Linked DNA regions of Tribolium castaneum. The protein of the gene in region 1 purifies or fractionates together with the protein of each later gene. This does not show direct contact. Links are inferred from orthologs where the notes say so. Each region holds a gene or a part of one and is shown in the gene's direction. Other genes may lie near its edges. The genes, in order: protein phosphatase methylesterase 1, PPP4R2r and Pp4-19C.

The links.
Region 2: the proteins of protein phosphatase methylesterase 1 (region 1) and PPP4R2r purify together in Homo sapiens (affinity purification with mass spectrometry; 3 studies listed by BioGRID and IntAct, counting the BioPlex papers as one, with this or other methods). This does not show direct contact. The link is inferred for Tribolium castaneum from reciprocal best matches to the Homo sapiens genes PPME1 and PPP4R2.
Region 3: the proteins of protein phosphatase methylesterase 1 (region 1) and Pp4-19C purify together in Homo sapiens (affinity purification with mass spectrometry; 3 studies listed by BioGRID and IntAct, with this or other methods). This does not show direct contact. The link is inferred for Tribolium castaneum from reciprocal best matches to the Homo sapiens genes PPME1 and PPP4C.

The regions. Positions count from the first base shown.
Region 1 is NC_087403.1:7,977,506-7,981,252, reverse strand, and holds the start of protein phosphatase methylesterase 1, read left to right. Parts: upstream 1-882; 5' UTR 883-1,053; coding exon 1,054-1,103; intron 1,104-1,154; coding exon 1,155-1,332; intron 1,333-1,378; coding exon 1,379-1,488; intron 1,489-1,535; coding exon 1,536-1,772; intron 1,773-1,821; coding exon 1,822-1,887; intron 1,888-3,582; coding exon 3,583-3,747. UniProt on the Homo sapiens protein: Demethylates proteins that have been reversibly carboxymethylated. Demethylates PPP2CB (in vitro) and PPP2CA. Binding to PPP2CA displaces the manganese ion and inactivates the enzyme.
Region 2 is NC_087402.1:9,726,951-9,730,703, forward strand, and holds the start of PPP4R2r (serine/threonine-protein phosphatase 4 regulatory subunit 2), read left to right. Parts: upstream 1-1,011; 5' UTR 1,012-1,154; coding exon 1,155-2,033; intron 2,034-3,753. Other genes in the region: uncharacterized protein LOC107397720, read right to left, coding at 359-634. UniProt on the Homo sapiens protein: Regulatory subunit of serine/threonine-protein phosphatase 4 (PP4). May regulate the activity of PPP4C at centrosomal microtubule organizing centers.
Region 3 is NC_087401.1:11,679,633-11,683,385, reverse strand, and holds Pp4-19C (serine/threonine-protein phosphatase 4 catalytic subunit), read left to right. Parts: upstream 1-1,458; 5' UTR 1,459-1,612; exon of another isoform or gene 1,613-1,637; intron 1,638-1,763; 5' UTR 1,764-1,768; coding exon 1,769-1,918; intron 1,919-1,972; coding exon 1,973-2,125; intron 2,126-2,177; coding exon 2,178-2,478; intron 2,479-2,593; coding exon 2,594-2,783; intron 2,784-3,248; coding exon 3,249-3,378; 3' UTR 3,379-3,633; downstream 3,634-3,753. Other genes in the region: Flo2 (flotillin-2), read right to left, coding at 1,185-1,233. UniProt on the Homo sapiens protein: Protein phosphatase that is involved in many processes such as microtubule organization at centrosomes, maturation of spliceosomal snRNPs, apoptosis, DNA repair, tumor necrosis factor (TNF)-alpha signaling, activation of c-Jun N-terminal kinase MAPK8, regulation of histone acetylation, DNA damage checkpoint signaling, NF-kappa-B activation and cell migration.

The DNA.
Region 1 (3,747 bases):
GTATCACATGATATGATTGCATCTTACATGCTGATCAAAATGGAGCAAAAGGCATCTTTGCGAACAACACCTTTGTTTCTAAACAAACTAGATTTTGGAGGTTTAATTGAATTTGGATCTGGAAGTTTTACTTTTCCACCAAGCTTGCTTATTTATACTAAATGATATGAAAAGCTAAAAGTTTATTCTTCGCAAACAAAACAAGACAAAGTTATAAAAATTCTGGTCGCATATTCAATAAACCTGTCAAAATCTCGTTTGTTAAACGAAATTTTTAATGTTTTTTCCAAAGCACTCTTTGCAAAAGCGCTTTTTTCTTAATTTTAATCAGTATGTAAGTTTTGCTCATATCATGTAATCACTGTAATCTACAAAGACTTTTCAAAAATACAAGAGTCAATAAGATCAGTGTTATAACTCTGACATCAACAACGCCTTGAAAAAGATGATGACAGATTTAGATTTTATATAAAAATGTGCCTGAAGAACGTCCTACTTAAAAACGTCTAGTTCTTTTGGTTTTTGCTTAAAAAAATAAAAACAAAAATTACGACTTTTTGATTTTTCTTAATAATTCAAAAACTAAAAGTGACACATCAAATATTTTCCAGATAATAGTTTAGCAGAAAAATGCGCAACTTTGCTCTAATTTAACCGACCTCGTATTTCATATACGGACGGCCTGTATAAATTGTTTCATTAAAAAAACATAAAATTGTATTGTTTATTGTATCTAATTTCGAAAACACCTTGTATATTTGAAAATAAATTTAGGAGTGACAGGCGTTTAGCGTCTACGGCTTTGGAAAAAAAATATTTCTTTCTTTAACATCTACCTCCTTGCTGGAACACTCTGTATAATTGTCAATATTTGAATAGCGCGCCGTGTTACGTAACAGGAATTTTTTGTCCGTGACGTTGGTAGTGTTTTATGTTTACGATCGGTGGACGAACTTCTCATAAAATTTGCTCTTCCGTCCCAGATTTAAATTAAACAATTTGGAAAAGTAAAAGTGGCACGTTTAGAAAAAGCTATTCGATCAAATTGTTACAATGAGTAATTTACGAAAAGCAGTTTTAGGACGTAATGCGAAACGCATTGGGTATGTAGTTATTTGTGCAAATTTGTGTGTATTGTGGTTATTTCCGTACAGTTTAGCCCCCAACCAACAAGACTTCGCCCCCCTTAAGTGGGATCAGTATTTTGACAGTGAAGATGATGTTACGACTGATAGTGGAACTTTCCATGTTTATAAAAAGGGTGACTCGGGCCCGGCGGTGGTCTGCCTCCATGGGGGCGGCTACTCGGGGCTCACATGGGCGCTATTTGCTGTAACTGGCCTCAAAGTTGTGGGCAAACATTAATAATGATTTTCAGGTTGAAATTACCACGAATATTGAGTGCCAGGTCATAGCGATTGATCTAAGGGGGCACGGGAACACCCGGTCCGGCGACGATAGTGACTTATCGTTAGAAACCCTGTCTCAGTAGGTTTTTCTTATTTAAAACGACAAAATTAGAAAAAATTTTTTAGAGATGTTGTTATGGTACTTAGCACAATATTTTCGGAGGAGGAACCTCCTGTGGTATTTGTTGGTCATAGCATGGGGGGCGCTGTTGCTGTTCAGTGCGCACACATGGTTAAAACGTTGGGGCTTTGTGTAATTGACGTGGTTGAGGGGACCGCCCTTGATGCCCTATCCTCCATGCAAAGCATCCTAAGGGGGCGCCCCACAACCTTCAAAAGTGTTCAGCACGCAATCCAGTGGTGGTAATCAAATTAACACAAAAAATTCCACAAAGTTTAGCCTAATTTTCAGCTACAAAGGGGGCCAAACTCACAACATTGAGGCAGCCAAGGTCTCAATGCCGGGCCAAATAATTAGGTAAGTAATTGCAATTCTCCCATCATGAGCGGTCGAGCCGGAGTCGAGTGTCGTAATTTTCGACACTATATATTTGATTTACATCCACAGTGGTAATTTAGCATCATAGGAATGCAACATGATCACATTGCCACGAGCCGACAATTTGGAATTGAATTGCAATTTTTTTTGTCGGGTCGTAGAAAAAACGGGGTATGCAGCTCGCATTTTGGGCTTTCCTAAAGATAATGAGACATTCCAAACTCGTGTATGAAAGAATTATTAACGTGTTAGAAAAATAAAATGGTATAGCAGCTTAAAAATGATTGACAAGGCCATAAAATTACCATTCTGATCATAATGCTTTGTCTGGGATGTGAAATACAAGATTTACAGAAATTGAGTTCTGAAAACAGTACAGTGAAAACAGTAACGTCATCGCTTATAAACGACGGATCGTTTATAACGACCAATCGTCATATTTATATATTCTTTGTTATTTCACGTTGCAACTTATTGAATGTCTTCTTAGTGCATAGCAATAGTTATCTGGTTATATGTATCGTTCTTTCAGTTATTTGATATGGTTTAGATTTGACGTCCAAAAAAACCTAGTAGGTTGCTATTTATATTATATCTATTATATCTCTGTTGATAAGTGCCGGTATCAAAAGTTCATAATAAATTAATAAAAATTAGAGTTTAGGTAACATATTTCTCTCCCAAAATTCTAAATTTTTGTAATTTTTTTTTTGGTATATCATATCTTTTGAAGTCCACACCACACAAACGAACGATTATTTTGGGCCGCTAAATAGTCATCTTCTTTTTCATCAACTAATTTTGCAAATTTTATATTTGTTCGGATAGCTTTTTGAGGAGATAAGTTTCTAGCATTAAAAGGACATTTGATTTCTATAATTCCATCACATCCCAAAAGGCCATCCGGACTTGCCGCTAAAAATGGGTATTTCTCAGAGACGGATAGGTCGACCAGAAGACTTTGTTTATTAAATTTGATTTGGAAAGATTTTAGTGCATTCTCTTCATTCTGGCTAGGCCCAGGTTTGTTTAAGTTGTGTATACTATGAGTATAGTGTAGAGGAGTCACTATACTACGTTACAAAACCACTATAAAATCACACCCGAGAAGTTGAAATAACTTGCCTTCGGCATTTGGTAGTTGATAAATTGGGAATATATGATTCATTTTGCTCTTTCCTGTTCTAACAATGCAAAATCACTGTGTTGGTCAGTGTCTGTAATCCACTAAGTAGATACACAGCGGTATTATCACAATTTTTTCAGTATGAAATTTCCGGCGAATTGTTTCGTTGTTATCTACGTTAATATTTTAGTTTATACTTGTGAATGATAACCTTACGCCCAGCGTTCCACAATTTCGAAAAGTTCCTTACCGTTTATTTATTAATTATATTTTTTACATATTCAAATCCAAAAGTGGAATAAAAAATTAATTTATAATTCTTTTCAACATCTTGTCAACACGAGATAATGCTTTATCGTGTGGTGAAAACCGCATTGAGTTACATTGTATGAGTCGGAAACTTTAACATTGTTTTTTTCCCTATATCCGAAAACGGCATCGACACCCTTAATGGCTAAGGCACTCGCACTCGTTACGACACGAGCCGTAAGCGAGTGTCGCAGTTTTTCGCAGTATACTAACACGTGCATTTAATTTGATGTTTTCAGTATTCAAAGTGGTAATTTAGCAGCTAACGAATGTGATACAATTGAGTTGAAGCCGGCGGAGGAGTTGTCGGCGCCTGTGAGAAAGCAGACGCCGGCGACTCCCACGATTGAGGAGGATGACGAGAGCAATTGTTCCGATTGCGGGAAGCCGCCGCTGCCTAAATC
Region 2 (3,753 bases), on another chromosome or scaffold:
CTATTATATAATTAAATAAACACATACAAGCAGAGTAAAATGAAACAATACGTTGATTCGTTTTTATATCTGGGCCAGTGTGTTACTTTTTGCAAAAGTCGCCCGCTTGCATCTGTAAGAGTTCTAAATTCTAATTAACACAAATCTTTTAAAGCGATTACGCTCGGGTATAGGGCTGCCTTACAAAAGAAAATAATCCTCATACGTGCGCAAAATGATACAAATACATAACAAATAATATATTTACAAACAATTCGGTATTATAAAAGATAAACAGAGTATATCATATTCATAAGCCACGTTAAAGCTATGTACAAAATAAAACTTACAAGGTATTTTTCTCTTACAATTATGAATTTTAAGCGTTTATTTTAAGTTCGTTTCTCAGGATTTTGCCGCTGGGGTTCCTTGGGATCGACTCGACGAATTTAACACCGCCGGCGATTTTTTTGTAATGGGCCACTTTGGGGTTTATGTAAAGTAGGATGTCGTCTTCACTCAGGCTGCTCCCGGGTTGGCGCACGACGAAAGCTCGGGGCACTTCACCGGCCAAAGCGTCCGGAATACCCACAACAGCACAATCGGCCACTCCGGGCATCTCCAGGAGCAGATTTTCAAGCTCGGTGGGCGACACCTGTTTACAAAAAAATAACGATTATTTCTTACGTAAATATTTAACAACGCGTAATAAAAAGAGTATAAAGTATGACTTCGTAACGTTAAATTCCAGGTGCCACGTAATAAAATAATTAAGGTGTGTTTTAAATTCAAATTAAAAAAAATTTTTGAATTAAAAACCACAGGGTATGCAACCAGTTATACAAAAAATCCGAGTGTTCGCAGAGAAAATATTTTTAGCGAAATCTCGGTGTCGCTCACCCGGTTTTTGCACACGTGTTAGACTTTGCGCTGTTGCTGATTATAATTTTTAATGACTGTACTTTAAAATCAAATAAAATTGTCTCGCGTTTAAATTGATAAATGACCACGTCCTTAAAATAGGCGCGCGGTTGCGCAGTTCGTCGATCACGTCCTACTTTGAGTGGAATGATATTGAACCGGCGCTAACTTCGTTATTGTCATTGGTGCGCTTGTTGACGCAAGTAGATGGTGATCGGTGGTGCTAAAATTTCGCGAAAAAAACAATAACAATAATGGAAAATCCCGAAGAAATACTCCACAGTTTAGAGGAATTCTCGAAAACCAAGCCCAAGGACATACCGCGCGAACTGGAGGAGTACCTTTGTTTTGTGGCGAAAACAGGGGACCCTGTGTACCAGTGGTCGGCAATAAAGAGCCTCTTTCGCGAGAAGATGATTAACGTTATAACGGAGTTCTACGAGACGTGCCCTTCGGTCGAGATACCCCCTTGTCCCAACGTGGACATTTTCAATTACGACCTTATGAAGAATTTTATTTTAGAGAAGTTGGACACGTTTGCGGCGGCCCCCTTCACGTTACAGAGGATTTGCGAGCTGTTGACGACTCCGAGGAAGGAGTACAATCGGATAGACAAGTACATGAGGGCCCTGGAGAAGAATATCCTAGTTGTGAGCACCACTGAACCTGGGGGCAGGAGGAACACGGAGAACGGGGAGGGCATTATGAACGGGTTGGAGTCGGAACATTTGCCGGAAACTAGCAATAGCAGCAATGACATCAACGTGGAAGAAATGGACGATGCGCCAGCTTGGCCTAGATTGCTACAGAACGAAAATGTTCCATATCAAAATGAGAATAGCAACAGTAATGACATTCAAACCCAGCCAATTGTACAAGAAACGGTGGTCACCGCGTCTAAGCTACCAGATGTGGCCTGCAGCTCGTCTCAAGACACTGTCATAACGTGTCGAAGCTCAGAGGAGCCCTACGTTTCGATTGAACCTGTGCCATCAAATACTTGCACCAGATCAGACCCAGATGAGACGGATGTCTCGGTTACCATCACTGCCATACCTGCAGGGGTCCAAAAGAGACGAAACAGTGTCGAACCGGTCGTTTCGTCAGAAACCGAAGAAATCACCGAGTCTTGTGTAAGTACCAAGTTTTGATCAAAGTGTCCATGTGTTTGAAGTTGGCAACATTAATTGCTAAATGGTCACGTCACACTCAGGACAGTGTTGCCAGGCCTCGCAAAATTTCACCAAGTTTTGTGATTTCGTAATTTCAAAATTTCTTCGAAAATTACTAAATTAAAAAACTGTTATCAAACCATTAAAATCACAAAATCCCTCGATGTAGTTAGTTTAGGAGCGAAATTTCGTAAAAAAAGTCAAAAAACCGTAAATAGATTTTAAAATTGTTATTTTTAGCTTTTCAAGCACGTTTTTGAATAAAATGCAATGTGTTTTTCAAGATTTTACAAAATTTTGTTCGTTCTATTCGCCTCTTTTATTTTGAAAAATCTTGTTAAAACGCGCCAAAAAAATACAAAAATAAATGAAAATTGATGGTTTCACTTAATTTGCTCATTTTTGAACAAAATTTCGTAGTAAAATACCCTAAAAGACGCAAAATTTGTGTGGAAATGGTGTTATTTTTTTTAATTTTTTAAGTATTAACTAAGCTATATTAACAAAATTTTCTTGAGAAGACCGAAAGTTAAGAAATAAGAAAAAGAAAGTCGGAAATATCATTATTTCTTCCTTTTTTGTGCGTGTGGACATATTTTACAGTCCGAAATGTAAATATTTCGTAAAATTTTGTTGTAAAGAAGCTTAAAATTTGCCAGCTTTTTTTAAAAATGGTGATTCTATGCATTTTCTATGCATTTAAACGTATTTTTAACGCGAAATATTTTTTCCCTTTTGAAAGAATATCTAAAAAATACGCAGCTTAGATTGTCTCGCTTGGTTTAGTTTTATTTATTTTGCAAAATCTTGCTAAAACGCCTCAAGAAGAAACCGAAATTTCTTAGGAAAAAACATGTAAAAGCGCATTTTTGGAGTTATTTTTCACCATTTTCAAGTTTTTTTTTCTTGTGAGAATGAGCATGTTTTAGAGCCTGAAATGCAAATTTAATAAAATTCTGGTCAAAACAAGTCCAAAATCCACCAAATTACGCTAAAAATTGTGCTGTTTTACATTTTTTGAGGATTTAGACGTATTTTAAAAACGAAAATAATTTTGCAAAAATTATATTAAAATTAGTATCAATTGGCAAATTATGTTGTAGTGTAGTAGTAGATTAGTAGATGTTTTTTAGCTTATTTGATTAGATTTTATTCGTCTTTAAACCTGTCTCCTTTATTTTGCAACATCTAAAACGCTTCAAAGAAACTGATGGTATTTAACTGTTGCACTTGAAAAAACTCAAAATGTGTTAGAAAGTGTTGTTATTTTTTTATTCCCTTTCGAGATTACAGCAAAATTACAAAATTAGATTGAAAATAACATTATTAGTTTTTGTGCAAAATTTCTTAGAAAAAAATCTGAAAAGGTACATTTTTTTGGAAATGGTGTTATTTTTTAACTTTTTCATGTATTTTTTTTCTTTAGACAAGACCAAAAAATTAAGCTGGAAATATTCTTTCTGTATTTTTTGTGTGTATGAGCATGTTTTAGAGTCAGAAATGCAAATATTTTATAAAATTTTGTTCAGAACAAACCCAGGATTATGCTATGGTGCTATTTTACCTTTTTTGAGCATTTAGGTGTATTTTAAAAACGGAAATAATTTTTTCTTTCGAAAAATTGTACTATAATTTACATACAATTGGCTTAACAATAAACAAATTATATTATAGTGTAGTA
Region 3 (3,753 bases), on another chromosome or scaffold:
CAAGTTTTTACTAAAACAAACCAAACTGAATCGATAATTATGTTTTTGTTGCCTATTTAGCTCGTTTTACAGCCAGAGGTGTAATTACATCAGCCGGAGGTAATCTGTACTGAGGTATAATTATTCTGCAAAATTTCGCTACAAACCAAAAATTCACCAAATAAGACGAAAAATGGTGTTTTTTTGAGATAAAAATTAAGAACTTTTTCGAAAACCGGCTAAATTCAGCTAGTTTTCACTTAGTTTCTTAACTAAAAACTCATTTATTTTGCAGTATCACAGACGCCAAAAAATGGAATTGATATTGTTACGTGATTTTGAGATTTCAAAAGTTAAATTTTCAGTTTTTTTGTAAAATTTCGCTAAAACAGATTGAATATTACATTATTTTAACATTTTTCAAGCCATTAGAGGCTCCAGTTTATTGAAAATTTGATAAAATTCCGCGCGGATCTGGTGATTTTTATTTTTTGAGTTGGTAATACTGTAAGCACCACTGCTTAAAGAGCGATTTACACTAGCCGATTATGTCCGACTTACACCACGGAAAAAAGACTGGAATGACTGACTTTTTGGCCATTAATTTTCAAAAAAATTGTAACCAGAAGACTGTCTTTTATTTTTTAATTCTAGTAGTTACAATCACGATCATGTTATACCACTGCAGTAAACAGTAAATAAACATATGCAAGGTTGTTCCAGATAGGTACGCCCATTGTAAAACAACAACAAACAGGCACACCAACCAAACACAATACAAATGTCAAAGGTCAAATAGTAGAGCACTTAAATTTTATTGCAGTTAGGCAATAAATGAAACACATGATTAGCGGGAATTGTTGAAAACAATTTATGACTAAGAAAAAATCTTCTTTTGATAATACTTAATTAATAAAATAACACATTTTTGTCATATTAAAAAAACAAGTTATTAATAAATCTCTAAACCGGTAAAGATGAGACGTTAATTATTGAAACGTAGTTTTTGTATCTCACTATCAATAATACTACAATTAAAAAGTTATTTTTATGGTCGGGAATTCTATTTATTCTTATCAACAACTAACGATTCACCTTGAAAATACCCCAAAAGACCCCAGATTTTGCATGCAGGTACCCCAAACCCCGCAAACGCTGTAGTACAGCCCCAGCCACCCTTGTCCAAGCTACCCCAATAAAATTACCTGAAACAATGAGGGCTTCATTCGGTCCCACCGTATGGATATTTCCCATGTCTCCCAACACCTCGGCACCACACACACAGTCACAAACCCTCCACAAAACCCCCTTAAAATTTCAGGTTAAACATGAAAAAACTCCGCTTTAATTTTTTAAGCCGTAATCATACTACGACCTACTGCCTAACGCAGGCGCACCAACTTTATTTAAACAACCCTAAACGCAATTTCTCCCCAATTTAACCGTCCACCGTCGCTTTCCTGCCGAAATAAGGGTTGAGAACGTGCGCAGAGTAGCGTCGGTGGCGACACGACGCCGCCGCTCAATTGACATTTGTGAGTCAGCCAATCGGACGTATGTCTGAGATTAGGGCATCGGGGTGCTGTGATTAGTGGCTTTGGTGGGGGCTTTTTCGAACTTTTATTGGAAAAAGGTACGGAATTTCGCCAGAATTGTGGGTAATTAGCGTTTCGCAATCGTTTGGGTTCAGTTTTGGGGGTTTTTGGTTAAGTTTGGGTGACCTAACCTCAACTTGTTACTTTTTGTTTTCGTTTGACGTTTGAGCTTGGGGGCCCGTGTTTCAGGCACAATGGGCGATACCAGCGATTTAGACCGGCAAATCGAACAGTTGAAAAGGTGCGAAACGATCAAGGAATGCGAGGTTAAGGCGCTGTGTGCGAAAGCTAGGGAAATTCTTGTTGAAGAGAGCAATGTTCAGAGGGTTGATTCCCCGGTTACGGTAAGCGCAGCCCCCGGAAGGGGTCACGGTTTGGTTCATTGTGACTTGCTTCAGGTTTGTGGCGACATACACGGCCAGTTTTACGACCTGAAGGAGCTCTTCAAAGTGGGGGGCGACGTCCCCGAAACGAACTACCTGTTCATGGGGGACTTTGTCGATCGTGGGTTTTACAGTGTTGAGACGTTCCTCCTGCTACTAGCCTTAAAAGTAGTACCGAAAACGTGACGCAACAAGTAAAAATTTACGATCATTTTTTTAGGTTAGGTACCCCGACCGCATCACCTTAATACGAGGCAATCACGAGTCGCGTCAAATAACCCAAGTTTACGGATTTTACGACGAGTGTTTACGCAAATACGGCTCCATAACCGTATGGCGGTATTGCACCGAAATTTTCGATTACCTCTCACTTTCGGCTATCATTGATGGCAAAATTTTCTGTGTTCACGGGGGGCTGTCGCCCTCCATCCAAACCCTAGATCAAATCAGAGTCATCGACCGGAAACAGGAAGTACCACACGACGGACCAATGTGCGACCTGTTATGGAGCGACCCTGAAGGTAATTAATAGCCCCCTTGAGTCGCTCCCAAATTGAAAAAAAAAATTGGTGGCCAAGTTGGCCCCGAAAAATTATATTTGTGTCCAGAGTTAGTCATGAAAAATCAATGTTGTAGATACCCAAGGTTGGGGCGTGTCGCCCCGAGGGGCGGGCTATCTGTTCGGTTCCGACGTCGTGGCCCAGTTTAACGCCGCCAACGACATTGACATGATCTGTCGAGCGCATCAGCTGGTCATGGAGGGCTACAAGTGGCACTTTAACGAGACTGTGCTGACAGTGTGGTCAGCTCCAAATTATTGCTACAGGTAAAATTACCACTGGGAGCGCCACTGAGCTAGGTTGAAAACAGTAACTTCAAATGTCGGGAAATGTTTATTATGATTGTACGAATTTGGAGGCTTTCGTTTTTCTTATGTCTGTATTTTCGAAAAGTGTTTTTATTTCTGATTGCAACGATGTATCACATGATATGATCGAATGCTGGTTAAAATGGAGAAAAAATATTTTTGCGAAGGATGCTTTGGAAAAAACGCCAACAATTTTGTTTTTAAACCTACTAGATTTTGGAGGTTTATTTGAATTTGGATCTAGAAGCTTCACATCACCACCAAGCCTACTTATTTAAAAATTAAACCACATGATAAACAAACTTACTAAACGATACATTAAATTCGTTACTGTTTTCGACGAAATGTCGTCAACAAAGGGCGTCTAGTTTTTTTTTCCAAACTGGGCATTTGGTAAATTTCGGTTATTTTTTGTGTTTGCAGGTGTGGCAACGTTGCCGCAATTTTGGAACTGAACGAGCATCTGCAACGTGATTTTACGATTTTTGAAGCGGCGCCTCAGGAAACTCGAGGCGTGCCATCGAAAAAACCACAAGCTGATTATTTTCTGTAATAGTTTAGTTGTTCTTTTATAATTGTAATATACATATTATACTCTTGGTCATCTGTTAATTCATAATTAATTCATCAGTTGTAGTTACGTATTTTTTCATGGTCTTCAATTATGTTTAAGACAGTTTTTGTTCCAGTTGTCGATTTATCCCTCTATTGACTTCGAAATTCTAAAACTGTACTTATAGTGAATTTATTTATTTAAAACCATGTATTGTACCATTTGCAGACTGCCAAAATACATTTTTTTGTAAAATTTGAGTTTTATTTCAAAGATATTGCAAATTAAAAAAATAATGGCGGCACTGGCAGCCATTTTGGGACGGCTAATTCAAAACCGTACCCATCGCGTGTGTGATAGCTAAGCAAAAAAGCC